Struthio camelus: one gene and its partners. The protein of the gene in region 3 interacts with the protein of the main gene of each other region in a biochemical or structural test. Links are inferred from orthologs where the notes say so. Each region holds a gene or a part of one and is shown on either strand. Other genes may lie near its edges. The genes, in order: ELF2, FOS, RUNX1 and DTX2.

Region 1 (7,001 bases), on a different chromosome or scaffold from region 3:
CCCTTTTATACAGTTGGCATCCAAAACTCTGGGGACGGATTTACGTGGATACCTACATAAATGCAACTGCAAGAGCAGGACTGCAACCAGCAGTAGCATCCTATACAACTTTTTTCAAGGTAGCAGTTTAACGAAAAAGTTAAACTTCCTTCAGTTTAACAAAAAAGTTAACAAGGTCAACTTAAGAATAAAATTGGTGACAGATGCAGAAATACACCACCAAGATCACTGCAGAATCCCATTAACTGTAAAAAGATTTCCTAAGGGTGCAAAGGTCCTCTTTCACAGGCAGCACCTTAAGTATACCAGTATATACATCACTATCACTCTGATGCGTGTAAACTACAGCATGCTTTGTAAAAACAATTTTACACCCACTGAAAGTTCTTTCATAAGGCATTTTCCCCCAAAATACTTCACACTGATTCACACTGGCATTTTGCAGAAGCAAATTTCATTTACCTTTTTATAAGTACCAATTTAGTTTTGTGAAAGTTGGAACAAGTCTACAAACTGAAAAATTACCTTACTGCAAGAATTGACTTGGAGCAAAAAGATTTAAACTCATAGACAGCCCAAGAATCACTGGGTCTGCTCAGAAAGGTGATATAAAGAAAATATTTGTATCTCCAAGTTCAGAAAAACAAGACAGATAATCCATGCAATTTATAACACTTCAAATTATACGAATCACTACATGTTACAGGGAAAGAAATCAAAATTTGGAACGGTCAAGGTAAGTAGTCCTAGCCAGGACATACTTCAGACACCAGCAGTTTCCATATAACAAGACAATAACTGTACTACTGAATGCACAGGAATTATTACATTGGATCAAACTAACGATGTATCCAGTCCAGTAACTAGACAACAATACTAACAGAAACCTCAGAGAAAACTGCAGGAACTCCTTCCACACATTTAATTAGATAACCCAAACATCCAAAGTTGGCTCTGAAATCTCAAGTAGCTAAAGCGGGTAAGCCCCAAAACACACAAGCTTGTAATCACTTAAGAACTATTAACTTTTTGCAAGAAGCTTCACGGTTTCAGTGGCATTCTTCTGGATCTCCCCATATCTCATCCTACTGTTCCCAGGGCTCTCTATGTAAAGATTCCCTGAAACGTTGTCTTCCCTCTGAGAGAAGTCTCACAAGCACCCCCCTACTTCTTACCAGCACAGCCCCTCCCACTACGTCAACTGTTGGTCCTTAACATCCATTTCCACTCCCCCACAAGCCAGAGCAGGGAGCAATTATTCATCGTTTTACATAATAAAAGAGCCAGAGGCAGATGAAATAAAATGGTGAGGATGCTGGTTTAAAAACAAACAAAAGGAAGAAGCACACAATCAAACTATGCAACTCATGTCATAGGATTTTTTTTTTTGAACTTAGCAGCATAACTTGGAAGATTTAAATTAGAAAACTTAATGAAGGTAAAGCTCCTCGATAGCTTCAACGACTATTAAACACAAAGATGCATATACACAGGCTGAAGTTTAGGGACTTTCTGAACCAGATATTATTGAAATCCGAGATGGAAAGAGTACGCTAATGGAGGTATCATGCAACGTACACATCCTGTTCCCCAAGTCTTTCCGAAAGCAACTGGCACTGCCCACTATCAGAGATGGAGCAGGGGAAGAGGGAGGAAGTGGACCTTGAATCAGACCCATTATACCCAGATTCATAGTTTTCTATTTAATTTAAGATCCTTGAAATGAAGTTAATTTTTGTGGTAACAGAAGAGAAAGATCTGGCTCTGTGACTGTATTACTCAACAGAATAAATGACTTCTTGTTTGGAATGAGAAATAATGAACAGGGGAGTTTTCAACTTATTTTGGTAACAGATATTTATGTAAAGTGGTCCAAAATTGCTGCAATTTTGTTAGAATATTGTTTTTACGAGTCTTGAGAACTCTCTAACGCTTATACTCTTACACCTACCCTTACCTTCATTTCATAGCATTTGTCTTGACTAATTGGGAAGCTCTCAAAGTTTGATGCACATACATTATTCAGAAAGTACCAAACAGGTTTATGACTAAATTGCAGCAGAGGGGAATAATTATCCATACATAGAGAGTAAAGACAACTTTAGAGCACAATGAGAGGCGAACTCAGCAGATATGAAAGGCTCCTCACAAACTGCTGTTTTTAAATCGATAGCAGGTGAGCTTTAACAGTCTTTGCAAATAAATTAAACGGCTAAAAAAAAAAAAGTCACAGGGAACCTGGCAGTGACTAGCCGTAAAGGAGGGAATAAGCAGAACGAAAACCTGAATCATTTAACTGAGGAGAGAAACAGAAAAAAAAAAAAAAAAAAGAAGAGCGACAGAGATCATCTACCAAAAGGCAGCAGACAAGACACAAACACCAGAATTACCAAAGTACAATACTTCACAGCGGCAGGATTAAAAACACGCCAGATTCCCGAGTTATTTACCAAGGGCGCTGCGAGAGCGGCGCGGGCAGTAACGTCAGGACACGCAGCCGGGCACAGAAATAAAGCCCAGGCACCGGGCGGCAGGACGGCGGCGGCAGGCCCGGCCCGGCCCGGCCCGGCGCCGACCCGCTCACCCGCCGCCAGCGCGGGGCGGGCACGCGTGACACCGCGCACCACCGCGCCGCGCTGCCATCTTCGCCCCGCGTAAACAAGCCGCTGCCCGGCCCCGGCGCGGCCCGGCTCGGCTCAGCCCGGCAGGCCGCGGGGCCGTGTTTACACTGACAGCGGCCGGGAGCCGCCCGCCGACGCCGCGGCCACGGAGCGCCGGCGGGGGGGGGGGGGGGGGGGGGGAGCCCAACGGCCGCCGCCCGGCGCCGCGCACGAAACCGAAAGTGTGGGACGGGGCTGCTGCCGCCGCCGCGCCCCCCGCCCGCCTGTCAGCCCCCGCGCGGGCCGCCGCGCCCTTACCGTGCCCCCGTGCCGGCCCCGGCCCCGGCCCCGCAGCAGGAGGCGGCGGCGGCGGCGGGGGGCGCCGCCCGGGCAGAGGCAGGGCCGCCCCGCGGCGGGAGGGGCGGGTGCGCGGCGCAACCTGCCCGCCCCCCCCCTCCCCGCGCTGCGCCGCCTCTGCACATGCTCGCGCCGCCGGGCGCGCGGGGGCGCTGTGGGCATGCGCGGCCGCCTGGCGCGTGCGCGCGGGGGAAGCCGTTGCTTCGCGCGCGGGAGGGTGGGAGGGGAGGAGGGCGGTTGGGGGCAACCGTTGGGGGCAACCGTTGGGGGCAACCGTTGGGGGCAACCGTTGGGGGCTGCCAGGGTTGGGGGGGGAGCTGTGCTGTGCGGGCACCCTCGTTGAGCTCCCTCATCCCTTTCCTCGTGATAAGGTGCGTCGGGTCTTCGTATTAGTTGCCGCGTGCAGCATTCCTAAGAGCTGAAAAAAGTCAGTTGGCTGTATGTGGGGAATGAGGTTGGGGGGGGAGGGAAAACACCCTCCCCCACCTCCCGACAAGGCCTGTGGGGCTCCGCTGCGGGGACGTCTCCTGTCACCTCGCAGTGAAGTATGTGTTACTGTCGGAGTCTGCTCGCAAATAAGTACCTGCCAAGAGTAACTGTCTCGATCTACTCTTATCTGAGAGGTTTAGGGTAGAATCGGTGCCCTCTTTTACACATACAGGGCTTTAAGCGTTACAAATACCCTTCTTTCCATGGCGCAGTAATAAACAGAAGAGCCTTAGCAGAACAGGAGGCACAACATTTTCGTTACAGACAGAAAACACAGTGGTGGGAAGACTCTTCACATTGCGAAGGCACTTGCTCATCACTAAGGAGCGCTGGACCGACCGTGTCCTGCACAAACAATCAGGCCCCCTTGTGCCTGCGCATGGCGAAGCTCTGACACGCTCCCTTTCTCACAGGGCTCCTCAGCGACACACACATCGCGCTGTCACCCGCACGTGCCCATCACCTTCGGCGGTGTGCAAAACCACACTTCTGCCTCATCTCAGTTTCCACCGGGTCTAACACTCCCTTGACAGTCCTGCTCATCTCCACCAAGTCTAACTTCCGGTCCTCGGTTTCTGCCTTGGGCATATTACCAACCGTTAGTCTAACAGGTCTGGCTACCATTCATGAAGTGTTTGAACAGGATGTTTCTTTCCTGTGCGTCTTTGGGGCAGCAGCTTCCTTTCCTAAGGAAATAAGATCTTTCAGGTGTCTTTAGGCCTTAGAACATGACCTCCTTTTACAGGCTATGTACAAATAACCCATCTTCTGGGGCAGCTGTTTTCCCTGGGGATGACACAAACATTTCCCTGACAATAAAGGCAGCCCTACGAATATCAAGTCAGTGCCCTGCAGCGTGGAAACACTAGAGATGCTTCCCTTCCAGACTGTGTCAGGCAATGTTAATAATAAATGGGGCTAGCGGCACCATCTGTAACACAGTCTCTTACATAAGTGGTCACTACCAAGGCATAAACTTAGCAGTCGCTTTATAGCGTATATGTTGTCTTCACAAAATTAAGGTTTTACCACACACTAAGCCCACTAGATTTTTAATATGGCGTATACTTGGATGTCGCTAGTTACAGGATTTCCTAAGAATACATTCAGCGATATCAATTTGGCTTATCTGTCTGCTCTTTAAAAGATAAGAGATATCACTTCCAGATCTTTTATCTATCTTTAAAAGGAAGTATCAAACACTATGTGGAAAAAAGCTTAACATTTGTTAATTGGAATCCAGATTGCTGCTAAAAATTATAGAATGCTTTCCAATGCTGGTACATTGCAGTGTTGTTTGTATATAAGTATTGCTTGTACATGACCTTTTAATGTTTTGAAAGATAAGCATGCAAACTGTGTCAACAAGGATGTAAAATTAAAATCCCGTAGAGAGTGGATGATGGAAGTCCACCTATTATAGGCCTTGGAGTTAGATCAGAGATGGTAGCTGAAAATGCAAAATAAATGAAGCCTATTTACAGCAAAAGAAAGCATGATTTGAGAACATGGTACTATATAGGGAGGAAAAGGTTAGAGTGTGACTGACAGAAATTGCCTTACTATAGACTGGAACAAAGAGTAGCTGGGTGGGAATCTGAGCCATTGATACAGTTCTGCAGCCTGACGGAATTAACTGCTCTCAGCTTCGTCTCTGGTGCTTAACTAGTTTTGACTTGTGGCATTCACTCTTTCAGTTTTTTTTCTTTGCTTGGGTCCACGTTAATATTCAGAAAAAGAAAACCTCTTGCTATGATCTTCTTCATGAAGAACAGCAGCAGACACCTTCTCCTTTCAAAACATAGGCCCACTGTCAACCAAACAAAAGCCCACATAAACCAAACCTTCTCTGTAGCTCCTTCATGGAGTCACTGGGCTGGTCCCACAGCTTGCAAGTGCTCCAGAGGTGGCCATTTAAGTGATCTTCTGTAATGCTGGTGTTTGTTCTCTCACCGTCTGGCACAGTCCGTCCTCTGTTTTACTCACTTTCACTCCACACTCAGCTTGGATGCTGAGGTAAAGAGGTTTCTGCTTCCCCTAATCTAATTTCTTTACATGACTTCCATTTCTCACCTTGTCTTCTAATGAGCTGAGCTGAGGCCGTGAGCAGCACCTCACTGAGTGCTCTCTAACTGCAGAGACCTGTGCTTATCTGCAGAGATTTGAGATAATTACAGTGGCATTTGAAAAAAAAATAGACTAACTGTTCATATGGAAAGCTGTATTCCTCTTAAGAACACCTCTTTTTGGTTTAAGTTACTTAGAAAGCTAAGCTGAAAAATATTTATTTAAAAAGAAAAAAAGAAAGACCGCTAAAGGGTTTGCATCAATTCAACTGAATAATTTTTGAAGTTTTATAAATGATGCAGCTATCCTAAAAAAAAAAGGTTGGTCCTTTTTCCCCACTCCTGAGGTAGATCTGCAGTCAATTCAAAACTGCTACTGCTGGGATACTGCTGTGCAATAACATGGGGTCAGTAGTTCAACAGATGCTGCTCTGCCCCCTTTGCATATAGAAAGCTGTGGTCCACATTGCTTTTTAAACACTGGTCCTCAAAAGATTGTCGCCTATCTAATTCTATATGCTGAGCCTACTACCCTTGATCATTCAGATGAAAGGGGAAAATTATACTGATTCAGACCCAGAAGTATGACCCAGAAGAAATGACCCAGAAATGACCTAGAAAAAAAATAAGGGAGTTAAGGTCCCACGACCCTTCTGTCAGTCAGTCCATTCTGTAAATCATTATTAATGAAGTAGCAGTAATTCTACAGGTGTAAATAGTTTTTCCTCTTTTTAGGATAGACTTACAGGACATACAGACTATTTCCTGAAAACTCTGGAGATAGAGCAATAATGATGCAATCTAGCAACAATAAAATGTATTGATCATTTCTAAAATGAAAATGGAAATGGTTCTTTGTTTTCACAGTTTGGGGTTTTTTATCTGAACTTTCGATAGACTCCATAACATTCTTAAACAGTTGTAGAAAAGCATCCCATTTTTGCTCTCCAGTATTACTAAAGTAAGCCACATTTTAGCCTAAGGAAACAAGCTTCATGAGACCTAGCTATCTGTGCCTCCATCCGTCTCTGTCATTCTTTTCCCTTTGAAATTATTTTCTAATTTCAGCTCCATTTTATAACAGGGTAGAGATATCAGCAATATGAAGTTCGTCTAACTTTCAGGAAAGCAAGTATGTGAGCAGAGGAGAGAGCCCTAACCAGTGCGCCCACCAGAGAAAGCAGCTATTTTAACTCCAACCCACAGCAGCCACCTGACATCTAGTCATGCACATAGCTCTCTGTACCAGCCACAGCAATGCTGTTTCTTAGCTAACCAACTCCTATCCTCCCCCTGCAAAAAATGAAGGTATTTGTGGTTTTTGGGGGCAGGGGTAGGAGCGTAGTGGAAAACTGGTGGCACTATGGGACTGGAGGACATGAGGAAGGCCTCGTGGTGCAGTAGCAAAAGGGTCACAGGGACCACAGGGGCTACAGCTGGGACTGCAGAGAGGAAGATGACAAGGGAAGATCTATACATGGCATGAATC
Region 2 (7,309 bases), on a different chromosome or scaffold from region 3:
CAGGTGAAATGCAGAGGTACAAGGGCAGAGAAAGGACAGCAGGCCAAGGACAGGCATCCCCAGAGGGAGAGGGGGGATGGGTAAGGTCATAGAAGAGGAGATCACCCTGGCACCCATCCCAAGTGCCCCAGCCCTCTGACAGGGGGCAGACTTGTCCTTAAGGGCATTCCCACCCTTGCCCCTGGAGCACCCCATGCCTCAGACAGCTAGCACCAGGCTGCAGCTCATGAATCCCAGCCCACGTTACAGAGAAGGGAACCACTTCTGGGGGTCACAAGGAAGTGATGCAAGAAGGCAATGCAAGGACACCTCCAGCATTCAACTTAAATGCTTTTATTGACAATGTCTCTGAACAATAATAAGCAAACAATGCTTAAGTCTCATTCAAATTCACTTTCCACATGTCAAAAAAGACCTCAAGGTAGAAAAAAATAAAATAAAAATATAAATATCTGATAATCCATCTTAATAAATAAATTAAAAACACAATAAAAACGTTTTCATGGAAAACTTATGTCAGAACATTCAGACCACCTCAACAATGCATGATCAGTAAAGTTACAATGAACATCAATGTAGAACTACAGTACATGGATATAGCTATTTATCTACCTACTAGAAAATAAAATAGAGTCTCTTCCCCCCCCCCCCCACAGAAGATGGGTCATTGCTAAGTCATCAGAACACGATATTGCCAGGAACACAGTTATTGTTAATCAGCTGCACTAGATACGAGTTGGAGATACCCAGCACCAGGTTAAATCCCAATAATTTAAAACCAAGAGATTAATTAGTTAATGCTAGTGATACTAAGGAGGGGAGGGAGTCACCAACCCAGCCATGTGGGACATGCTACAGACTACCAGCTCTCATGGGTGGGCCATTGGGGACAAGACAAATTCCATGCGATTTGCTACATCTCTGGAAGAGGTACGAGGCCTCAGCACAGGGCGCTCTGCCAGGCCCCAGGGTGCCAGGCCAGACAGAGGGGGCAGCGGTGGTGGGGCCCTCCCCGGGCCTGGGGACCCGTGGGGCACAGCGGCAAGTCCATGGGGGCGCACGGGCAGGGGAGGGGGCCCGGCAGGTCAGTCAGTACAGGGGCCTTAGGCCACTCACAAGGCCAGCAGGGTGGGGGAGCTGAGAGAGTCGGACGAAGGCTCATTGCTGCTGCTGCCCTTCCGGTGTGCGGCAGCGCAGCTGGGGAAGGTGTCCGCCTCGGGGTAGGTGAAGACAAAGGTGGAGGTGTAGGTGCTGGGGCAGGGGGTGCAGGTCACCACGGGGGTGCAGAGGGGCTCCAGCTCCCCACTGGTCCCAGCACCCAGCGGCTCCCAGTCTGACGCATAGAAGGAGGAGGCCCCAGGCAGGTCCATGTCAGGCACCGAGCGGGAGGCCTCCCGTGGCCCTGTGGCAAAGAGCAGCTCATCGAAGGGCTCAGCCTTGAGCTCCAGCCCACCTCCGCTGGTCTCCTTCGGTGGTGCAGCCGGCAGGGCCTCAGCCAGCAGCGGCAGGGTAAAGGCTGCCTCCTCGGTGGCAGGGGGACTGGGGGCACCCAAGTCCAGCGCGGCAGCGGCTGCCAGCTCCTCGGAGAAGCGCAGCTCCTCGGGCATCTTGCAGGCAGGTCGGTGGGCTGCCAGGATGAACTCCAGCTTCTCCTTCTCCTTCAGCAGGTTGGCTATCTCTGCCTGCAGCGTGGATTTCTCCTCCTCCAGCTGGTCGGTCTCCTGCAGAGAGAGCGGGCTGTCAGCCAGGGCCAGCCTGGTGCCCCGACCACCCCCGGCCAGGCCGGGACCCCCCTGCCCCCCCGACCGGGCCACACTTACCGCCTGCAGCGTGTCCGTGAGCTCCCGCCGCCGGTTGCGGCACTTGGCCGCTGCCATCTTGTTCCTTTCCCGGCGGATCCTCCTCTTCTCCTCCTCCTCCGGGGACAGCTGCAGGCAGAGAGAGGCCGCTGAGTCGCGCTGCCAACCCCGTGCCCCGGCAGGGGCAGCCCCGCGGCCCGAGCCCCGGCCCCCCCCCCCGACCCGGCCCGACCCCCCGCTCACCTGCTCCACTTTGCCCCTGCGGCCGAGGCTCTGCCCGCGGGCTCCCGGCGCCTTGAGCGCGGCGGGCCGGGAGTAGGCGCCGGCGGGCGCCGCGACGCCGTAGGGGTGGCCGCGGCTCTGCGAGGGGGCCACCGAGGAGACGAGGGTGGGCTGCACCAGCCACTGCAGGTCGGGGCTGGTGGAGATGGCCGTCACCGTGGGCACGAAGCTGGCGCTGGACACCGCCAGGTCGGCGCAGAAGTCCTGCGGGGCGGGGGGGAGAGGGGGGCGGTGAGCGGGGCGGGCGGCAGCGCCCCGGGCCGCCTCCCGCAGCCGCCGGGGCCGCGCCGGCCGCGGCGCCGCGCTGCCATCACCCGGCTCCACATGAAAAGGAGCTGTTATAAATATCTCTGACGTCCGCGCTGACGCAGACGCCGCTCCGGAGTCTCCTCAATGAACTCGCGTTTTATCAATGAAGCCGCTTTACGCACCCGCTGCAGAGCGCAGCCCGGGCCACGGCTCCCCGCCCGCCCCGCCGCGGGGGCCACCCCGCCGCCGCCCCATGCGGCCCCGGCCCGGGGGCAGCCCGCCGCCGTCACGCCGCCCGGTCCCGGTCCCGGCCCGCGTCCCCCCCCCCCCCCCGCCGGGGTGTCCCACTCCTCCTCCCCCCCGCCGCCCCGGCCCTCACCTGCGGGTTGACAGGCGAGCCCATGCTGGAGAAGGAGTCCGCCGGCGACGGGTAGTAGGTGAGGCTGTCCCCGGCCGGAGAAGCGCTGCTGCAGCGGGAGGAAGGTGCCTCGTAGTCACCGGTGAAGCCCTGGTACATCATATCGGCTCGGCTCGAAGGGTGCACACCCGGGGCCGTGGGAGCGGAGTGTCCTCAGGCGGGAAGGAAAGAGGGAAGGAGATCGGGAAGGCCGGCTGCGCCTGTCCGTGCCGCCACCGCGTCGCTCCGGCTCCTGCTCCGCCACTCGGCTCGCTCTGCCCTGGAGTACCGCGCCGCGCCGCCCCTTTTATACCCTCCCGCCGTGTGAAAAAGGCCGACGTCACTGGGGACGCACCACCCGCGCCCGCGGGGGGGGCCGCCGGCCCCGCGCCGCCCCGCCCCGCCCCGGGGCCGGTCCGCCCGCTCCGCCCCCACCACCTCCCGCGGGGGGGCCGCGCCCAACGGCCCGGGGGGGGGCGGGCGGCCGCCGAGCGGCGCGGCGGGGGGAGGGGCGGACCGGCGGCGGGGCCACCCCCCCGCGCGCGTGCCGCGTGGTACCTCCCGCGCGGCGTGGTACCGCCAAGCTCGGGAACCCACTGACGCAGATATCCTTATATGGGATACATCCTGTGCAAGGGGGTGTGACTGACGGGAACCGCTCCAGGCTGCAGCCAAGTGCGGCGGCGGCGGCGGCGGCGGCGGGCGGCGCGCCCCGCGGGACTGGACTGGACGGGACGGGACGGGTCGGGTCGGGTCCCCGCCGGACCGCGCGCCCCCCGCGCTCCCGCTCGGCTAGAGGCGCCCGCACAGCGGGCTCGGCGGCACGCAAGGGCTCGGGGCGCAGGGCCGGGCCGGGCCGGGCAGCCGGAGCGGCAGTACTCCTCCGAGGAACACACGTCTACTTTTTTTATTGCAAATAAATCCCGGCGCTGGCATCGAGCGATTTCTGTCTGTAGCCCGGCGCTGGAATATTACAGGCTGTCCATGTGGAAAATCTAACCTACTCCATTTCCTGCAGCGAGGAAAATGTTACACTCATGTGGCATTATTTACTTTTCTATTATATATGCAGAGAAAGAGCCGAGAAGGAGGATAATGACACAGGGCGCTGGGAAGCCTTGCCAGGGGAGCCTGCGGGGCTGCAGGGCAAGACACGGCCCCCAGGAGGGCTGGGAGAGCTCGGGAGCAGCGCCCGGGGGTGCCGGGATGCCGCTGTACCCCCAGCGGGTGGGCAGGGGGCCACCAGGAAACCACCAGCAAGGAGCAATGGGTGAGGCTTGTCCTTTCCCCTAGTTTGGGTTTTGTTTTGATCCCGGTTGCAGCGAAGCCCGGAGACACCCACCCACGACGGGGATGTCAGGCAGCCCTGGCTCAGGTCAGGCAAAGCTGGGAGCCAGACCGCAGACTCGCCTTGCACGGGCGCCAAGAGATCGCGGCTATAGATAGTAACAGGGAAGCTGCAGCAGCAAGCATGTTTACAGCAACAAACAGAGCCTGCAGCGCAGTCTCCAAGCAGGAGCGTCACCCAGCCAGGCTGGGATCCTGCTGGCAGCCTCTCCCGCTCTTTGAGCTCATGGGCTAAATGCAGCGCCTGCTGCTGCTGCTGCTGCTGCCGCCGCCGCTGTTGCTGCGCGAGCAACCTCCGTTCTTAGAGATCTGGGCCACGGGGGCGGGAGAACTGGGCCAGCTGCTATTTCTGCGCTGCCCGTCAGAGCGGAGGGGACAGCCAAGGACTGCCGCGGCGCACGGCCCGCTCCGCTCGCCAGCAACGGCCCATGGGCTTCTCGCCACCTCTGCGCCAGCCCAGGGGCTGGTCCTGCTCCAGCCCAGCGGCTGGCCCCAGCCCGGCGCGGCGCCCAGGGCTGCACTCTCCGGCCAGCCTCGGCCCCGCGCTGCCGGCAAAGGGGTCCGTCCTCGCCGGTGAACTCGCAAAGCCCCGGCCTGGCCGTCCCTGCCCGCCGGCCACCACGGCCGCGTCCCCGCAGGGCCCAGGAGGGTGGCTCGGGCTGGAGAAAAGCCTGCAGCACAGTTCAAGGCCCCAAACATTTCCCAGCCACGCGTTGGGGACTGCTTGCTGAGCCCTGCTCCCGCCTGCAGGCAGCCCCGGGGTTCCCCCTGCCAAATCGCACCCGCAAAAGAAACTTCTGGAAACCAGGGGGAGGACCCGCTTTGCCAAGAGCCCAAAATATTTTGGTGGTGCCGATGCAAGCCGTCTGTTGCCGTCTCCGCTGGCGACCCAGCGCGCTCTGTTTGCACCAAACGGAAAGTGCACAGACGCTGCGCATCTCCAGCATGTGCCGACGGAGGCAAGGAAACAGAGAAACCAAAAACACATGACGTGGGTTTGTTGTTTGCTCCAAACGCGGGGCGCACACGGTTTTACCACACTGTCTGTGAAAAGAAAAGGAGGAAGTGAGCAGTACCGCAGGGACAAAACACAGTCAGAGCGCAACCCTCCTGCCCGGGTGACGGGGTTGCCCTTGCTCCCGTGCCGCAGCCTGACAGAGGCACTTTGCCTGGCTCCGCCAGCGGGGAACGAGCCGTCCTTTGGCCCGCTCGCAACAGCAGCACACAAGTACCATGAGCCCGCTGAGTACCGCAGTGCTGCTAAACTCGCACGAGCAGGGTCGGCAGGGCTTTGCCAGGCCCCCGGCACTCGGCCGGGGCTCGGCCCGACGCGCCGCTGCCGGGCTGGGACCCCCCCCCGCCCCCGGGGCGCGGGATCCCCCGCCCGCGCAGAGCCCCCTGCGCAGGCAGGGCTGCCGGCTGCTGCCTGGAAAGGCCCGCCGTTCCCACGTGCCCGGCGGGACGGAGAGGCCACGGCCACTGCAGCGCGAGCCGCGCAGCCACCGCCAACTCCCGGGTCAGGATAGGGCTGTGCCTCCGTCCGGCCGCTCACCAGGGGAAAGTTCACGGCAGCAGCGCGGCCCGCCGGCAGCCGGGCAACAGCTCACATGGATCCTCTCACCACAGCTAACCGCACCGAGCGCTTCCACGTTTCACTTTCCGGGCGCGCGCCGCGACAAACATGTGCCTCTTGCCAAACCTGGGGCTGCTGCTGGGGGGTCGGCAGTGCCGAGGGGCCCGCGGCGGAGCCACCGGCGGGGGGGGGGGGGGGGGGGGCACAGGGACATGGCCCTGGGCACTAACAAATAATTCCTTGCTCTCAAATGCTCCTCTGTGCTGAGAAGCCGGCGCAGCTCCCCGCGGCGGCGCAGACCTCGCAGGCAGCAGGGGCACTAGTGCAATTCCCCTCGCACAGGCGCACGCTGTTCGCCGTGTCCTGCGCCGCACACTCTCCCGGCACAGCGTGACGGGGCCCCTCCGCCTGCCTGGCCCCGCGGAGGCTTGCAGAGCGGGGCAGGGACCGCGGGGCTCTGGAGCGAGCAGCAGGGAGCAGTAGGAAAGGGGGCTGGTAAAGCAGTGGGGGGGGGGTGCCCCCTGCCTTGCTGTGGCAGAGGAGCAGGCGCTGGAGAAGGGCCCCGTCACGTCATCCGGGGGCTGAGCTGTGGCTTTCCTACGAACGCCACCTCGCCTGGGAGCTCCCGGGAGGGCAGCCTTCCCACCTTCATGGCTCTTTAAAGTGCAGAGCCTACCTATAGCCAAGTATAAATAGTAATTAATAATCACAGCAGCTGGGTGTGTGACAGGGACATCCTAAAGAACAAACACGGCGAGCGGAGACATCCTGGCATCTCGTGGTCGCGCAGCCACATGCCACCAGCTGCCAATTACCACCAATGATGCTGCCAGCGCCTCCCACCCGTTGTCACCGCGCTGCCTCTGGCTCTTGCCTGCACCGTGCTGGATGATGCCACCTCCCGCCCGGCCGGACCTGCCTCCATACGCTCACAACACCGCGCTTCGCACAGACACGGCAAGTCTCAAAGGCGGCTTCGCCCATCGCGGCACGTCCTGTACGCCCCTGACCCATGGGCCGGGCTGGCCTTGGGACCCTCACCTCTAGCAGCAGCGACCCCAAAGTGACGTTTTATAACCCAGAGCAGCGCAAGCACAGTGTCCTCCAGGCAACGCTCCTGCTGCCGGCACAGTCCCTTTTTACTGCTGGAGCCAAGCTGGCCTCTTCTCTCCCTGCGCCTCTAAGGTGACGAGCCCACCCCAGGGCGCTGCGCGTGCTATCATCTATCCTCCTAGGGCACCATCGGTCAGCCGCGAGAGGAGAGGAAACTACGCGAAACAAGGTGGCCCACGTGTTTGTAGAACTGCTCAGTATTTAGAGGTAAAACCTCAGAAATGAAGCAGGGCGAGGAAGCAAGCTCGCACGCTACGGTGAGAGGCAGCACGTTCAAGCCCCATGACAGACAGACTGACAGAGGTCTTCTTCAGCTAATGGAGCAAGATCCAAAGGAGGCGAGTGCAGCGGCGCTTCCCTCGCTGGAACCCCCCGAGGAGCGCGCAACAAAATCCGACACAAGCAGGAGTCAGCCTGGGCTTTCCATCGCACCCACGAACCTCACCGGCGCTTTCTGGGGGCGGCGGCGGCTGGGCCGTCCCGCTGGCCCCCTCCGCGCGAGCTGCTCTTCCCCGCAGGGCAGGCAGCCAACGCCAAGCTGGGCTGCAG
Region 3 (7,352 bases):
AGGTGCTGAGAAATGTGCAGTGGCCGCCCAGCAGGGCAGGCAGGGGTGCCTTGGCACTCCAGGTAGAGGCTGGTCCTCCAAACAGCAGGAGACATGGCAATGCGATGGTGAATCAGGTCCCCTCTGCATGCCGGAGAGTAAACCTGCCCAGTTTTGCCCTTTTCTCTCGCTGCTGCCTCCTGTCCCTGGGCAACGTGGGGCCCAGGCCACAGCAGAGCTGTCCTCCAGTTTCCTGGAAGGGTCATGCACAGGGATAGCAATCTCACAGGGCTTAGCAAAACCTGAGCTATAAAGCCCTCTGTGGGCCCACTTCTCTGCTTACCAAATTCTAGCTGCAAGTTCTCTATTTGTGTCAGCATAAGTGAGAAGAAAAACTGTAATTCCAGACTTCTAACTTTAGGGTCTTGCCCTGAAATATACCCTAAGCTTATAGAATACTTAAGAGCGGAACATTTTCTTTCCAAGGCAGCAAGTCATAATGAAAGGCTCCTTAAAAACCAATTACAGTAGCAACTGTGCATCGTTTAAAAGGAAATGTGCTACAGAGTGAACAAAGCTTAACAAGATTAGCTTAAGAACGTATCCCTCTACTGCTTTCCATTTACAGATGTTGTACATGACACCAGTGGCACAATAGGCTGTCTATAAATTAGCAAGTTTATTTTAAAGACAACAAAATATTTTAATCTGCTTTTCCTCATCATTTGCACAACGATGAAATTAGGGATTGTAACTACTTTAGCTTTACCTTTGTTAGGTAACAGACATACGTAGCAATATGTTCAAGCCTTTCTTAGCCAATACAGACCATTCTTGCGTGATTTTTAGATGTAAATTGTACAAAGTATACAGGGCAGGAATTATCACCGCTAAACGAAACCTACACAGCACAATATTAAAAAAGGTAGTTGCTCATGTGGTTTATACTCTACACAGCATCTATCATGATATCCATATATAATTCTGTTTATCTATGGTATCAAAGGGAGTTTTCTTTGGTGTTCTAGAGAACAAGGATTTTGTGCATCTGTTAAAAATAGAATCTAAATGTAGCAAATGTTTCTTACTTGACCATTTCATTAGAGCTTTCTCTCTATATAGTCATTATAGCATGCACAAACACCAACCACAGCTTATAATGCTGCCTCCTAAACATATTCCTCCCCTCACTCTGTAATTTGCTTCATGTTCCATGATCTTGGATTAAGATACGCATTTCTTGGATTCTGCAAAAAAGATAACCACCAAGAATGCCAGTACTTTACAAAGTAGAATGTATTCCTCAGATATCAAGATTTATTTGAGGCACAGGTCATAATACCATGGACAGGTTGGTAGAATAATGTCTCACTGTTTTGGCTGTTTCTGAAAAGTCTCATAAATCATCCAGCTGCATCGCAGGCTTTTTCAAGCCTTTCAACGTGTGTGAAGCTTTGCGGAAACAAACGAACGAAAGGCTACAGCTCTCGCAGCGGGATGGCATATGGCTTATCGTTTTATAGTCACAGGCTGCACATTATGACTTAATGCTCAGATAGCAAGTCGTCAGTGTTGGGCTTTATCTAGCACTTAGATATTTTACAAAATGATTAAATACCACCTTCAAAAATGCTCTGTAACAGAACCAAATGTTAATCCACGCAGCTGACAGAAAGGAAAAATACCAGCCCAAATTCGACACCAAATTAGAATCAGTGGAATTCAGATTTCAGGGGGTTTATGGACTATAAATCAGAACAAAATTTGTCCCCTTGTCCAACTGTAAGCTGAAACTATACTGCAGTAACTGTTAGCAGCAACCCCCTGAAGTAAGGACCATACAGACTTACTAAAACATAAAGTGGGGAAAGGGAAAGAGAAGGAATCTTCAAGTTTGAATGAACAATAGTAGAACTTCCTTTCATAATTCCTAACTTTCAATCTGACCTTCCCTCTTTATTAGAACTTTTTTAGCCAGAACAATAACAATAATTAAAACCCAACTATGCAACCCTTTTGCACTCGGAGATCAATTTAGTTCAATACATATTTAGCAAAAGAAGTGCAACCAAGAACGGAGCTAGCCCTACGATTGTGGAAAAGGAAACAAATCTGGAAGTATGTCAAATATTTAAAAGAGGTATAATGTGTTTCTGTCTGTCAAATTGCTTGTGCGAGATGATGATGGACTAGGCGGTCCCGTTCTCAACAGAATCACAGCAAAATGGGCACTGGCAGAGTCTATACAACTTGTCAATGCTTTATGGAAGTTCATAGTATTTTATCCAGAAGATCCTTGTGATAAAAAGCTATTTTTGAAGCTCTGATGAGATTTTTTTTTTCCATTGTCATTTTTGAGACATTAAAAAAACACCAAGTATATAGGCCAAACCTTTAATTTGTCTAAAAGAGCATCACTACTGATGATAACCCTCTGACTTGAGCTCAAGTCAATTAACATCGTTTGTTTACACTAGCTGGTTCTTTGAGATCACTTTGCTCTAATAAGGTTGCAAAACATTGAACTGCGAGTGTTGTCTGGCAGGCGTCATCTTCTGCCCCTCACATACAGCAGTAGAATTCCCCCCCCACCCCCCCGACTTAGTGGCACCCCCATCCCAAGCATTTGAAATGAAAACTATTTTGAAGCATTTCCTCTGAAGAAATTAATTCAGTTAAAAATAGTTGCAACATGTTTAACAGTCTAGTGAAAACTTCCATACGTATTTAACTGTCTAGTGAAAGTTAAAACACACACATGCACACAGTGATGGATTTCCTAATTTTTGCTCCAGCAGAAATTATACTGCTTTTAAGATCTTTTTCACCAAACACTTCCTACTATTTTACAATCAAAATTTCCATTTCATTGCAATGAAAAGAAAAACTGTTGAAAAGGAAGATAAATAAGTCTTTACCAAAGAAACCAGTGGCTGCTCTGTTTTTCCTCATCAGGTACATGGTCCAGGATAGTGGAGAAGACATACCAAACTGCCCGTGGTTCATGTTTAGGTTTATATGATAGCCAGGCAGTGGCCACACACTGCAAAAGACCAGCAGAAACTAAACAAGGTGAGGGGAGAGCTCTTCCTTTTCACTCCACTCTTTCTCTGCCCTAGAGATCATTATTTAACATGAGCAAATTGAAAAATGACATGCAGCCATACTTAGTACGTGTTTTTTTTTTCACTAACCAAACTCACATGAGACTTCCCCCATCTTTCTCTCCCTCTCCCTCCCTTTCTTCTCTCTCTCTCTCTTTTTTTCTTTTTGCCTCAGGCATTTATAGGCTAGTAATTTTCATTTAGCTTCTCAAATGATTTTTCTCTGCCTAGTTAGAGTGGAATTGGATGAAGATTCGAAATTCAGAGTTTTGCTGTTAGGAACCAGGTTGAGATTGTTTGGACGCCTGGTCTCCTATTGTTTCAGCTGATGCATTTTTTCAAAGGTACAAAGGTCTACTACTAGTGAACAGAGTAATGGCACTGATAATGATTCTTTCTACAGACGTCCCCTGCCCAAAGGGTTTTATAATCACTAGCACCAGACAGTTATACCATAAGAATGCCCTTGATTACGAAGAGATTTTTTTTTTCCCGTAAATACATTGGATAGCTTAGGTTCAACCTTTTCTACCCCTGAACATGGGAATAATTCCACTGAAGTCCCTGGGATGGGTATTTGTATGCGTAATGGTAACAGGAGTTGGCTGCTATATTGTGATAAATCAGGAAGTGAAAATATATGAGTTGGTATCTGCAAAGCTTGAAATTTTTTCAGCAGATAGTGATGTACACCTCACCTCTCTAAAGTTTAATAGGAAAAAATCCTTCCTATAAGCATACCAGTTGATATATACCCTGTAAGAGCCTGTCACACTTGTCACCAGGTGTGAAATTCAGCAATTTCATAAAGTACTCACGAAGAGAAAGATGGATATGCAGACGGAGGGAGGAATGCATGGATAGATGGATAGAGAGATTTTCAATGCCTTAAACCAGACCCCAAAGTGTATTCCAGTTACTGCCGTCACTGAAACAGCGCAAAAGAAAGCTGGAGGACAACCAGAACTTAGCATGCAATGCAAAGCATCTCTTACACCACAGTAGCATAAAAACTCTGCGTGCTTAGTGGCTCACATAGCAACTCTCTCCTCCTCTATTTTTTCATTTAAGGAAGGGAACGTTGGCTAGGATACCAAACATATCCTGTACTCCATTTCTTCTCCTAGAAAATGGAGAGATGGTCATAGACAACGAGGAGAGGAAATAAAAATAGGTGGTGGCAGTTGCATCTAGGTAGGCAAAAAGAAATGTTGCCTAAATGTATAGCTTGCTCACGTGATGGGTTATGTGTTTCCTCGACTGCAGGATGGGATGTTTCTAATGAAATCAGGGAATATATGTGGAAACAAAAGGCTATGAGATTTACTAGGGATTTGCTGCTGACCAAATTTCACATTTCAAGTAGAGTTTTATGTATTATATTCAATAAAAAGGCTAATATCTCACTTGTCAACATATGGCCACAAATCTATAGGCCCTACAAACACTTCAACACGTATAACATGCCTATTAGGAAAATTACGCTTATGCTGCAGGAACGGCCCAAAGTCGTAAGTCCATGAGAGCAGGTTCTAATTCCTGTGGATCTCACAGAATCTTGCAACACAGCTGGTATAAAAGAGACAGCAAATTAAAATTTACAGCTGGGGAAGCTTAATCCAGAAACTGTAAGGGGCTTTGTCTGTTGTTCTTATACTGAATGGAAGAACATGAAGTGGTACTTTGTTTTTCTTTCTTTTGAACCTTGTCTTAACACTGCCTGCATAAAGAAAGAGGAGAGAGACCTGCACAAAAAAACATTCTCCATATCCTGAGGAAAATAATGGAAAGAGGACAAAAAAAAAGAAGAAAAAACCCTGTGATGTGAAGTGAAACAGCACAATCTCTACCACTCTAGCGGCTGTTACACAATCCTGGGTTATGACATTATTCAACTGCCACAGGAGTACTGTGAGAGACCTCAGGCAAATGTTTCATCAACTGCACAGCAAGATGTTTCCTGGGCTTTGCCGACAGTGGTTCGGCAGAGATGCAATAACCCCCCTGTTACAGGCTAGATAAAGCACCCCCTGCTAGCTGCTATCTTCAGATGCTAACTATATAGAAGAAGGTTCCTTCTTTCCATCTCTCCATATAGCATTAGGTTTGAGCTTTTGAAATGTGCGGACCTTTAGTCCTTGACTCTTTCATGTATTTTTATCAGTTTTCACCTTCCTTTTCCTATTGCTTGTTGCCCATCTATCAGCGTGCAGGCATCTTGCGCACATTTACATAAAGATAAGAAATGATGGGGCTATGCAAGATACATATATGTTGACATCAGAGAACATGGATTTCCAGGGAAAACTCAGCTAAAGACCTGGGATGGATCTAAGTTTTGTATTTTCCTTCCCTAATATAATACCTTAGTTGGATCAGACGATACAGGAAATTGAGGAGATTGTTAAAGACTTTCTTTTCTATTTAATTCAATTTCATCGTTTTGGTATTCTAGGAAAAAGCTACCAGTTCTTGCAGCTTTTTACTCATGGTCTGTGCATTCAACAAATGCAAAGGCAGCTTAATGAACGCATAAATGAAACCCCAGCTATGTTTTTATTGCATCAACTGCACTGACTATCCCATCAGCTACTTTTCAGCTATATGCTATATTCAGTGTTAGTCTAGAGGTGGTAGGGGACAAGAGAGGAGGTTATAAGAGCCAGGGAAAAAGGTATTCCTAATTCCTACATACACACAGCAAACATTACTCTAGTGGTAATTTCTGACCCAATACTTATTTAAGGAAGATATACTTTACGGTAAGTCATTCACTTAAAAATCGAAACCTACATTCCTGAAGGTGCTAAACATTTGCAACTCTCATAGGCTTTCAGTAGAGTTGCCAGTGTTCAGATCATCTGGAAATCAGGACTGATACTTTTTTTTTTTGCTGACCACATTTCAATAAGCTGAGGCGTTGCACAGACTTTGAGATTAGCCCTCGGGGAGCTCCACAATCTGTTTTGTAAAGTAAAAGTAAATGTAAGTCTGAAATAAAATTGAAGTAGGTGGGAACACTGAGCCATCTGATGGCATACCATTAGCAGGTGGTATAAAAAGTGAAAATGGATGAATGGATCCTGTTTTCAGACTAAAAAAGAGATTAGCAATATAGTTTTCCAAAATTTTAACATTAAGATAGGTCTGTTAGCAGAAGTAGTTTCTCCAAAGTTATGCAGCATTTTATCTTCTTATATACTGTTAGCATCCCCACATACACTGGAGGACATCTGTTCAAACCAACGTCATGCTAACATTAAAACCTTGTACTTCATTGAATAGGCAAGACAGGAACACTGTGAAATACATCCCCGATCTCTTTATGAACCTTACACTGCTTTGATAAACTTATATTTGACAAATATAACAGTCTGGGCTCCCTTTGGGAATAACTGGATTCTACGAGCTATGCTACACAAAAAGCCGTGCTTGATAAGCTAACGTTCCTTTCTGATCTTAAGATCCAACCTCTGCCAATCTTTTTAACGACTGTGCAGAAAAATTACCCAATAAGCACAGAGAGCTCCACTCTATGAAGAAAAGTATTTTTAGGATTCTCTGAACTGAGCTAAATGACTGACATATTTTGAAAAGCATAAGACAGATAAAAAAAAAAGAGGCAAGTAAGAATGAAACAGGATAGAGCACACGTCCTGTTTTTGACACGCAACACCATCTCTAGCTAGCTTTGAAGCACTACATCCTCTTTGCAGAGTGTTTAGCAACCCCCTTCTGAAACAGGTTGTTTTTCTGGAAGCTGGATGTGGTGGACATTCGCCTGTGTCTCGGAGGAGATTGCCAAACTTGTGACCAAGGGTGGATTTCACTGACAAATATACATGGCTACCGGGAAAATTCCAATGTCGGTGCCTTTTTGGCTGGGCATAATATTTATGTGCACTTTCACCACGCTGAAGCTGGATGCGTTCTCCAGTGAAACTGAACCTTGTGAGACATTTGGAACAACAGCTAAAATTTCATTTATTTTGGAGCTGCCTACCAGACATTTGAAAGCTATCAAAAGCATGTTTATTCATTTTTTTGACAGGAGCCCTTCTTCCATTATTGTCTCCTTTAAATGCAGACAGAGAGCTGTTGAAATGGTTACTTTTCGAAAAACACAAAACTGCAACTTGGGAATCTGTGTGCTGACTTCCCGCTAAAAGCAACACTCAGGGACACAGTTGCATGTCAGCTGCCCCCACACACCAGCATCCACCATTGCAGCAGCTTGTCAGTAGTCTCCAAGGCAGTAGCAGCACATGC
Region 4 (7,002 bases), on a different chromosome or scaffold from region 3:
ATCTTGAGAAGAATAGAGAATAGGAGCCTTAAGACACCCAGATAAAAAGACAAAGGCTAGTGAGTAAATCCTGATGACTCACAGAAGAGTGACAGGATGCAGAGACAAAAGATCACAGTTACCGTTAGCTCCCAAAGTATATAAAAAGGCAGACACAAAGCCAGCACATGACAGTCAAACTAAGAGTCCAAGAGACATCTGGAGGACTTAATAGCTGGCATCCCTTGTCTGCTGTGTCACTGCAAGGAATCCTGTCCAGACCACCTGGACACGTGCATCTTGGTGCCTGAATGCTGCACAGACCCCTTGGAGAAACCCACATTGGTGCTTGTGTGCAGGTGGATATGACAGCATGAGCGTGAATGAGCAAAGCCAATTTTATTCTAAAATAAAATCACTTTCTCCCTCCTAAGGTCTCACGATGCCGAGTGCTCACTTTACTACCAGCCAACAGGGAGCTATGAGCCTCCTTTTTGTCAAATAGAAAGGTTTAGGTCCCCAAGATGCAGATAACTAGTGGGTGGTATCCACTGGAGGATGCCATCTGCATGGAGAATTACACTCCTACCGGATGGGGGAAGATCCCAAGCTGCTTGGAGCGTCCCATCCATCACTCTTGCATGGTTCACTAGCTTAAAAAAGGAAAAAAAAAGGAGCAAAGACACACCCACGTGTCTGCATTTATAAGAAGAAACCAACACTTTCTCCAGGAATTCAATGAAAATTAGTTATGAGCTGCTCTATGAGATTTTTACAGAACATCCCCAGCTTGACTGCTGTTGGCAACAAACCGCTTTAGATTACCAACAGCAGAAGGCTCTGGTCACAAAAATCATTTTTTGCTGTAACTCATTCTCCACCTAATGTACCAGGGATGGTTATTTTCCTGTTCAAAACAGTAAATTACTTCACACAAACCTCTGGTATCAAACTTGACACCTACCTCTGCTGCTTCTTTTCATGGCAGGTTTCACGCCAACACTATTACTCCTCAGAGACCGTCAGCATTTCCACGCTCTGCTTGAACAAGTATGAGTTTCTGTCCTCCCCAGTATGGGGCTGTACACACTCATTAGATGCTCTGAACCCCAATTAGAGAACAGACACCTTTTTTTCCCCAAAGTCTTCTTTAACAAACACTGATCTGCAGATCTTCAGCCACCAGCAGAGCAGGCGACCAGTAGGAGGATTTTTGAAGGGAGTCAGCAGTTTGTTTTCCTTCCTTTTTAAAATATAGTGGCAGGAAATGGAAAAAAGAAGGAATCACAGCAGAAAAACACCGAGCGCCACCTCGTTTACATACCACCTTGCACTCACTGCAACACTGGCCAAGACTGGCTGAGACCAGAGAGGTAACAAAGGTCTATTATTCACTTCCTCGGAAGGCAGCGACGCTTTGAATTCTGGACCACACGCACCAACCCGCTCCCACACACAAGCAAAGGTACCCGACTGGCTGCATGCGAGCATGGTGTGCTCTGACATTCACTCCCCATCAGTAAGGAGAGCTATTTCCTGCACTGGGAATGCAGGTCCCAAGGAGTAAGGAGTGTATTTCAGCCTCTTCTTGTCACTGAATAGTGCTCTAGCTGGCAGCTGTTTGCAAGGATTGGGAAGCAAGGAACGCACACCATCAGTCACAGGAGAGAACTTCAGTATGCCAAAATTACAAGAGTATCCGAGTTAAGGCACAGAAGGGGGGAAAAAGACACAAGTTGCAGTTCCTTCCCCCTTTCATGAATTCAGTGACACACAAACATTAAAAGCTGAGAAATTCAATATGAAAGCTGCTCGTCTACCCCCTTGGGCTGCTGTGCACATTACACAGGCATACAGAGAGGTTTGGGGTGGGTTGCTAACACAGCTTTATGGATATGGCTGTGGCTTTGGATGCGTTATATATCCTACACCCACTTTGCTGGCATAGTGTTTGGGATGCTAGCAGCAGCAATTCAGCATTACCATCTACAGCATGCCAACGCAGCTCTCTCCTGACCCTGCTTGCCTGCTGCACCAGCTCCTTTACGCTGGCTCTGTTCTGGGGAGATTTGCAACCACTGAGAGAGTAGCTACATGTCTTTGTTAAAATCCCTCAGACTAACCCTTCACCTTTAATTTTAAAAAGAACCTGAAAGTCAAACCTACCCCAAAGAGCTATGTTTATTCAGCAAATAATCCTGGCTCCAATTAGAAATCCTAGTGGGCCACCTTGCCCCAAATGAAAACAAACCCCCTGCTACTTGAAGTGGATACTTAAAACAGTCCAGCCAACTGTCCTCCACTTTGGAGGTGATTTTTAACTTCGGCTCACATCCTGAATTTGGATTTGTTTGGTTTGATCTCTATGCCCCAGCACACCTGTCGTAATATCTGCCCACAAGGCTTTATTTAACTGGGGACTTGGACAAGTTAAAGAATTTGGTGCATTTCAGTTGTGTTTCCCAGCAGATTCGCCTCCTGCTCCTCGAGCTCCAGCAAAACATGGGGAGAAAGCTGGGGAGGGACAGGCAGGAACGAGGGGAATTAAAACATTTGAAAGACATTTAATTCTCAGACCTGTTCTACTTACCATAAAATTGAATTTTCTTTTCCTTTGAAAGTAAGGTCTTAAAAGTCAAAAATGGTTTCTAAAAACCCCACATCCCTTTTTAAGTTTCTGACCTGAAATTGCCAGTGCTAACAAGAAGTTACATGGTGAGCTAGTTTGTACCACAAGTGCAAGAGAGAAGGCCTCAGGAGTCCTTGGGCTTGGCTGGGGTTGCAGGCTCTGTTCAAAAATCACCAGAATGAGAGTCTTCAGAACACGGAGATGTTTCGGCACGTTGTTCAGACACAAGGGTGCCCAGGAGAGACTTGTTAGTGCCACTAACAGCATACGAGAGGTGGCACTGGAAGAGTTACAGACAAGCCCTTATAGATAACTGCTGGAAAAAGATTATACACTGATTAAAAGCGTATGTAAAATAGAAGAAAGCAGTGAGACTGTAATAAGGCAGGGACCCTCGGCAGAGGGGGTGCCTCACTGGAACAGTATTTGATATGCCCTGTGCCACTGCAATGCCAAATGGAAGAGCAGCTAGCCCCCTTGCAGCACCCCGTGACATCTAATCCCCCCCCCCCGGTCTGGACCCAGCGCAACAGGAGCTGCAAATATACTCATGCAACAGGTCCTCTGCAGGCTCTCTGCAAGGGATGAAGCTCCTGCTGGATAACTGAGGGGAACATACTGCAAATGAAAACGGGGCCTCAACTCACAAATCCCAAACCCTTCATTGCTCCTGGGCCATCTGGGCCCAATGGGACACAGCCTGACTCCACCCACAGAGCAAGACTGCCCAGCTAAGCTCACTGCTGCTCAGAGACTTTGCTCTCCAGCCATCTGTGGTCTGATTGCTGGCAAAAGAGGCTGTAATTGCTGCTTCAAGCCCCCAGTTTCCACCTGCGCTGGGGAATATTTTGCAAAAAGACACTCTGTCCTGACCAGGAACTCAGGAAGATGAGCAGGTGACACCATCAGGCCACAACGGTGTCCACAGGGAGAAATGGGAACCGTTTAACCAAGCAAAGATCAGGAGAGGCCAGTCCTTTCCCCAGCTCTGCCATCTTGGGGAAGCCATTTAATTGTTTCCAGTCACCTGACTTCTGTCGCTTTGGCTATCCTAAGCACTCCTTTCCGTACACACATGTCCAGCGCCGAGTAGCACAACAGCTAGCAGCGACCCAGAAGATGGGGAAGGATAGAGCAAAATGGTAGAGGGGAGGTCGCAGTCGGGGTCAGACCTAGACACAGTCCTGCTTTCTTGTAGCCTTCGCTGGTAATCACAGCACAAGGTGGCTGGGTTGGCAGCCAAAAGAACAGAAGAAATAAAACCTGTCCACCCAAAACCTGGATTCCCTCCATTCAAAACAAATTTCAAGAAAATTCCCTTTGGAGGAGGAAATAAAGAGTGTAACTGGAGCAGAACAAAGCATTTGCCTATCAACTAGGCAGAGCACTTATTTCAGGCACAAATGAATAGGAATGCTGAGGCAAAGGGAACAGGGTAGGTACACTTGAATATAAGAACAGTTGCCTGGCATCAAACCAAACCCAGCATCCTGCTCACTTGCTCCAGGGTCCTTCCAGGGCACTGAAATAGAAGATTATCGACTTGGAGGGAGATTATTTACTCATGGGAGTGCAAACCTGGCAAAATCTGGAGGGCTTCTCCATTTTCGCCAAAGCTTCAGCTAGTAACAAGAAAGCTTTTATTTATTTATTTTCTTTTTGCAGGTAGAAAGAAAATCTCCTACCCAGTCTCAGGAAGCCAATTCTCTCAACAGACCAGCACCCATGTCATTTAGAGAAGTTCCCTACTGGACCATGCAGCTGGATTCCAAAATACTATATGAGAAGTCAAAAGTCAAGTCCCTGCCAATGGGAGCTGGTGATTCATTCAATTCACAGCCAGTCCTGCCACTTTGCCACATAACACACCCATTAGAAGTTAAAGATGACCTTAGAAGATTTAAATAAAACACCACACGGCACAAACAGATTTACATCAACAAACTCTTACCACTTCCTTGCTTAAATATACTATCTCCTTGTTTAAACACCAGAAAGCACTTACAGTTACCCACAGACAATTTGCTATTTCCAAGATCCTTTTGCAGACCTACCCTCAGCTTCGGAGGTAAATCAGGAGTTGTCCAGGCAGTAACGAACACCCACACAAACATGAGAGACCATGGGCTGGAAGCAAAGAAGGAACTTAGAGTTTGATGCAAGGAGAACTATGTCCTTGCTCTCTAGGCCGTATAACCATAGCACAATTCATTAAGCACAATAAAGCTAAGGCAGCAGACTTTCAAGAGCACTATGGGATGATTCCTCGAGACAGAGAGGAGCTGCCCTGAGAGCCCAGAGCTTCCAAAAGACGGAGACCCCACTCCCAGCTGCCTGCTCCTGCTATGCACTTTGTATGAGCTCTGCTGCCTGTCAGATCCCTCTGCAGGAATAATCAAATCACTAACCCAGCAGAAAACGAAACCAGGGGAAAACGCAGATAGCTTTCTGTTGGGATAGCAAGTTGAAACGGCTCTGCAGGACTGGCAGGAGGACTTTGCCCACCCAGCAGTGGAGAACGCCTTGCAGAACCAGAGGTGCAGAGGAGTTTGGCAGCACTACATCTCATCAACGTTCGCTTCTGCTGTTTAGGTTTGTAATTCACCCCAGACCCTCACTGTCCAAGGCTGGTACTCAAACCCAGCTCTCCAGCAAAAAGGCTGTCGTCTACTGTCCAGGTAGACAAAAGGAAGCCTGTTTAAAGTAATCCAAACCTTCTGCTTGTTAGGCAACTGAGTCACGGAGCAACTACATGATTAAGCCAGGGTTTAAAAGCAGTCCTAGCACAGTCAAGACTCGGTCACGGGAGGCTGAAGTCTGCGGCAAGCCCCTTTCTTTCCCTTCCTTTCCCAATGTGATAAGGACAGGTCTGCAGAGGTTTCTCCGAGCCCTCTCAGAGCCAGGAGCAGAAGAGCTGGTTTCGCAGCAGCGCGCTCTTCCTCCCAAAGGGCCCCCGCGCCGAGGGCAGCCCCAGCGCAGCCACCGCACGCCGCGAAAAGCAAACCGGCGTCTCGGCCGCAGCGCGGCCGGGCCCGCACCCGGCCGGGCCGCCCGGCGGCGAACGGCGCCGGTTCGAGGCCCCGCTGGGGCGCCGCGGCCGACAGACCTGGAGCGGCTCCCCCGCCACGGGCGCCGGCCCGGCCCGCGGCGGCTCGGCCAGGAGCAGGGGTGGCCCGGGGGCTGCGGCCCGGCCGGCACCCAAACGCCTTAACGACCCGCCGCCCCCGGCCGTGCCCGGGCTCGCTCCGGCACTGCCGCCGCGCCAGGCCCCGGCCCCGACCGCCCCGGCACCGACCCCGGAGCCGGCAAGGCGCCGGACCCCACCGCCGCCCCGGCCCGGCCGAGCGGAGCGGAGCGGAGCGGAGCGGAGCGGAGCTGGGCTGATCCCCGGCGCGCAGCCGCCCCCGCCCCCGCCCCCCCCGCAGGCCCGGGCCGGCCGAGCCCCTCACCGTGACTCCCGGCGGCGGCGGCGGCGGTTGCTCGCGGGGCAGCCACTTCCCGGCCGACAGCGGCGGGGCGGCAGCGCGCATGCGCCGCGCGCGGCCGCCTGGGAGATGTAGTGCGGGGGGAGGGGCGCGGGTGGGGGGTGTGTGTTTGTGTGTGGTCGGTGTGTGCATGCATGTGTGTGCGTGTGCATCCGTGTGTGTGTGTGCATGTGTGTGCGTGTGTGCACGTCTGTGTGTGTGTGTGTGCACGTCTGTGTGTGTGTGTGTGTGTGTGTGTGTGCACATATGCGCGTGTATGTGTGGGTGGGTGTGCGTGCGGGTGGGTGTGCATGCGTGTGAGTGTGTGTGCACGTCTGTGTGCACGTCTGTGTGTGTGCATGCGTGTGTGTGCACATGTGTGCGTGCATGTGTGTGTGTGTGTATGCACGTCTGTGTGTGCGTGCATGCATGTGTGTGCATATGTGTGCACGTCTGTGTGCACGTGTGTGCATGCATGTGTGCATGTGCATGCGTGTGTGTGCACATGGGTGTGAGCATGTGTGTGCACATGTGTGAGCGTGCATGTGTGCACGTGTGTGTGTGTGTGTGTGTGTGTGCGCGCACATGCCTGCGTGTGCGTGCGTGCACGCAGAGGGCTGGAGGGCCGGAGACAAGCGCGGGGTGCGAGCGAGGCGGCTGGGGACGAGGCAGGCGCGGGGGCGCGGCAGCAGGCCCGGCAGTGGCGTGCGCCGCTGCCCTGCTGCCCCGGTGCGTGGCCGGAAGGCGGCCGACCGCCACGGAGCCCAGCGCCCTGCCGGCGACGCAGCCCCCTCGGGCCCGCGGGGCCAGGGCCCTCTCCGCCGGCGGCAGGCTACGTGGCCCGCGGCGGCCTGTCGTGGCCTGTGGAGGCCCATGATGGCCTGCTGTGGCGGCCCATGGCAGCCTGTGGCGGCCTGTGGAGGCCCGTGG

What was found.
Region 1: the proteins of RUNX1 (region 3) and ELF2 form a complex in vitro, tested with the Homo sapiens proteins (2 studies listed by BioGRID and IntAct). The link is inferred for Struthio camelus from reciprocal best matches to the Homo sapiens genes RUNX1 and ELF2.
Region 2: the proteins of RUNX1 (region 3) and FOS form a complex in vitro, tested with the Homo sapiens proteins (2 studies listed by BioGRID). The link is inferred for Struthio camelus from reciprocal best matches to the Homo sapiens genes RUNX1 and FOS.
Region 4: the proteins of RUNX1 (region 3) and DTX2 form a complex in vitro, tested with the Homo sapiens proteins (2 studies listed by BioGRID, with this or other methods). The link is inferred for Struthio camelus from reciprocal best matches to the Homo sapiens genes RUNX1 and DTX2.

Annotation. Positions count from the first base shown.
Region 1 is NC_090945.1:32,451,431-32,458,431, forward strand, and holds the start of ELF2 (ETS-related transcription factor Elf-2), read right to left. Parts: upstream 3,008-7,001; 5' UTR 2,919-3,007; intron 2,689-2,918; exon of another isoform or gene 2,451-2,688; intron 1-2,450. UniProt on the Homo sapiens protein: Isoform 1 transcriptionally activates the LYN and BLK promoters and acts synergistically with RUNX1 to transactivate the BLK promoter. Isoform 2 may function in repression of RUNX1-mediated transactivation.
Region 2 is NC_090946.1:57,949,404-57,956,712, reverse strand, and holds FOS (protein c-Fos), read right to left. Parts: upstream 3,011-7,309; 5' UTR 2,851-3,010; coding exon 2,710-2,850; intron 2,286-2,709; coding exon 2,043-2,285; intron 1,929-2,042; coding exon 1,821-1,928; intron 1,722-1,820; coding exon 1,113-1,721; 3' UTR 318-1,112; downstream 1-317. UniProt on the Homo sapiens protein: Nuclear phosphoprotein which forms a tight but non-covalently linked complex with the JUN/AP-1 transcription factor. In the heterodimer, FOS and JUN/AP-1 basic regions each seems to interact with symmetrical DNA half sites.
Region 3 is NC_090942.1:121,272,980-121,280,331, forward strand, and holds the start of RUNX1 (runt-related transcription factor 1), read right to left. Parts: upstream 3,001-7,352; 5' UTR 2,986-3,000; coding exon 2,898-2,985; intron 1-2,897.
Region 4 is NC_090957.1:14,471,738-14,478,739, forward strand, and holds the start of DTX2 (probable E3 ubiquitin-protein ligase DTX2), read right to left. Parts: upstream 3,018-7,002; 5' UTR 963-3,017; coding exon 944-962; intron 1-943. UniProt on the Homo sapiens protein: Regulator of Notch signaling, a signaling pathway involved in cell-cell communications that regulates a broad spectrum of cell-fate determinations.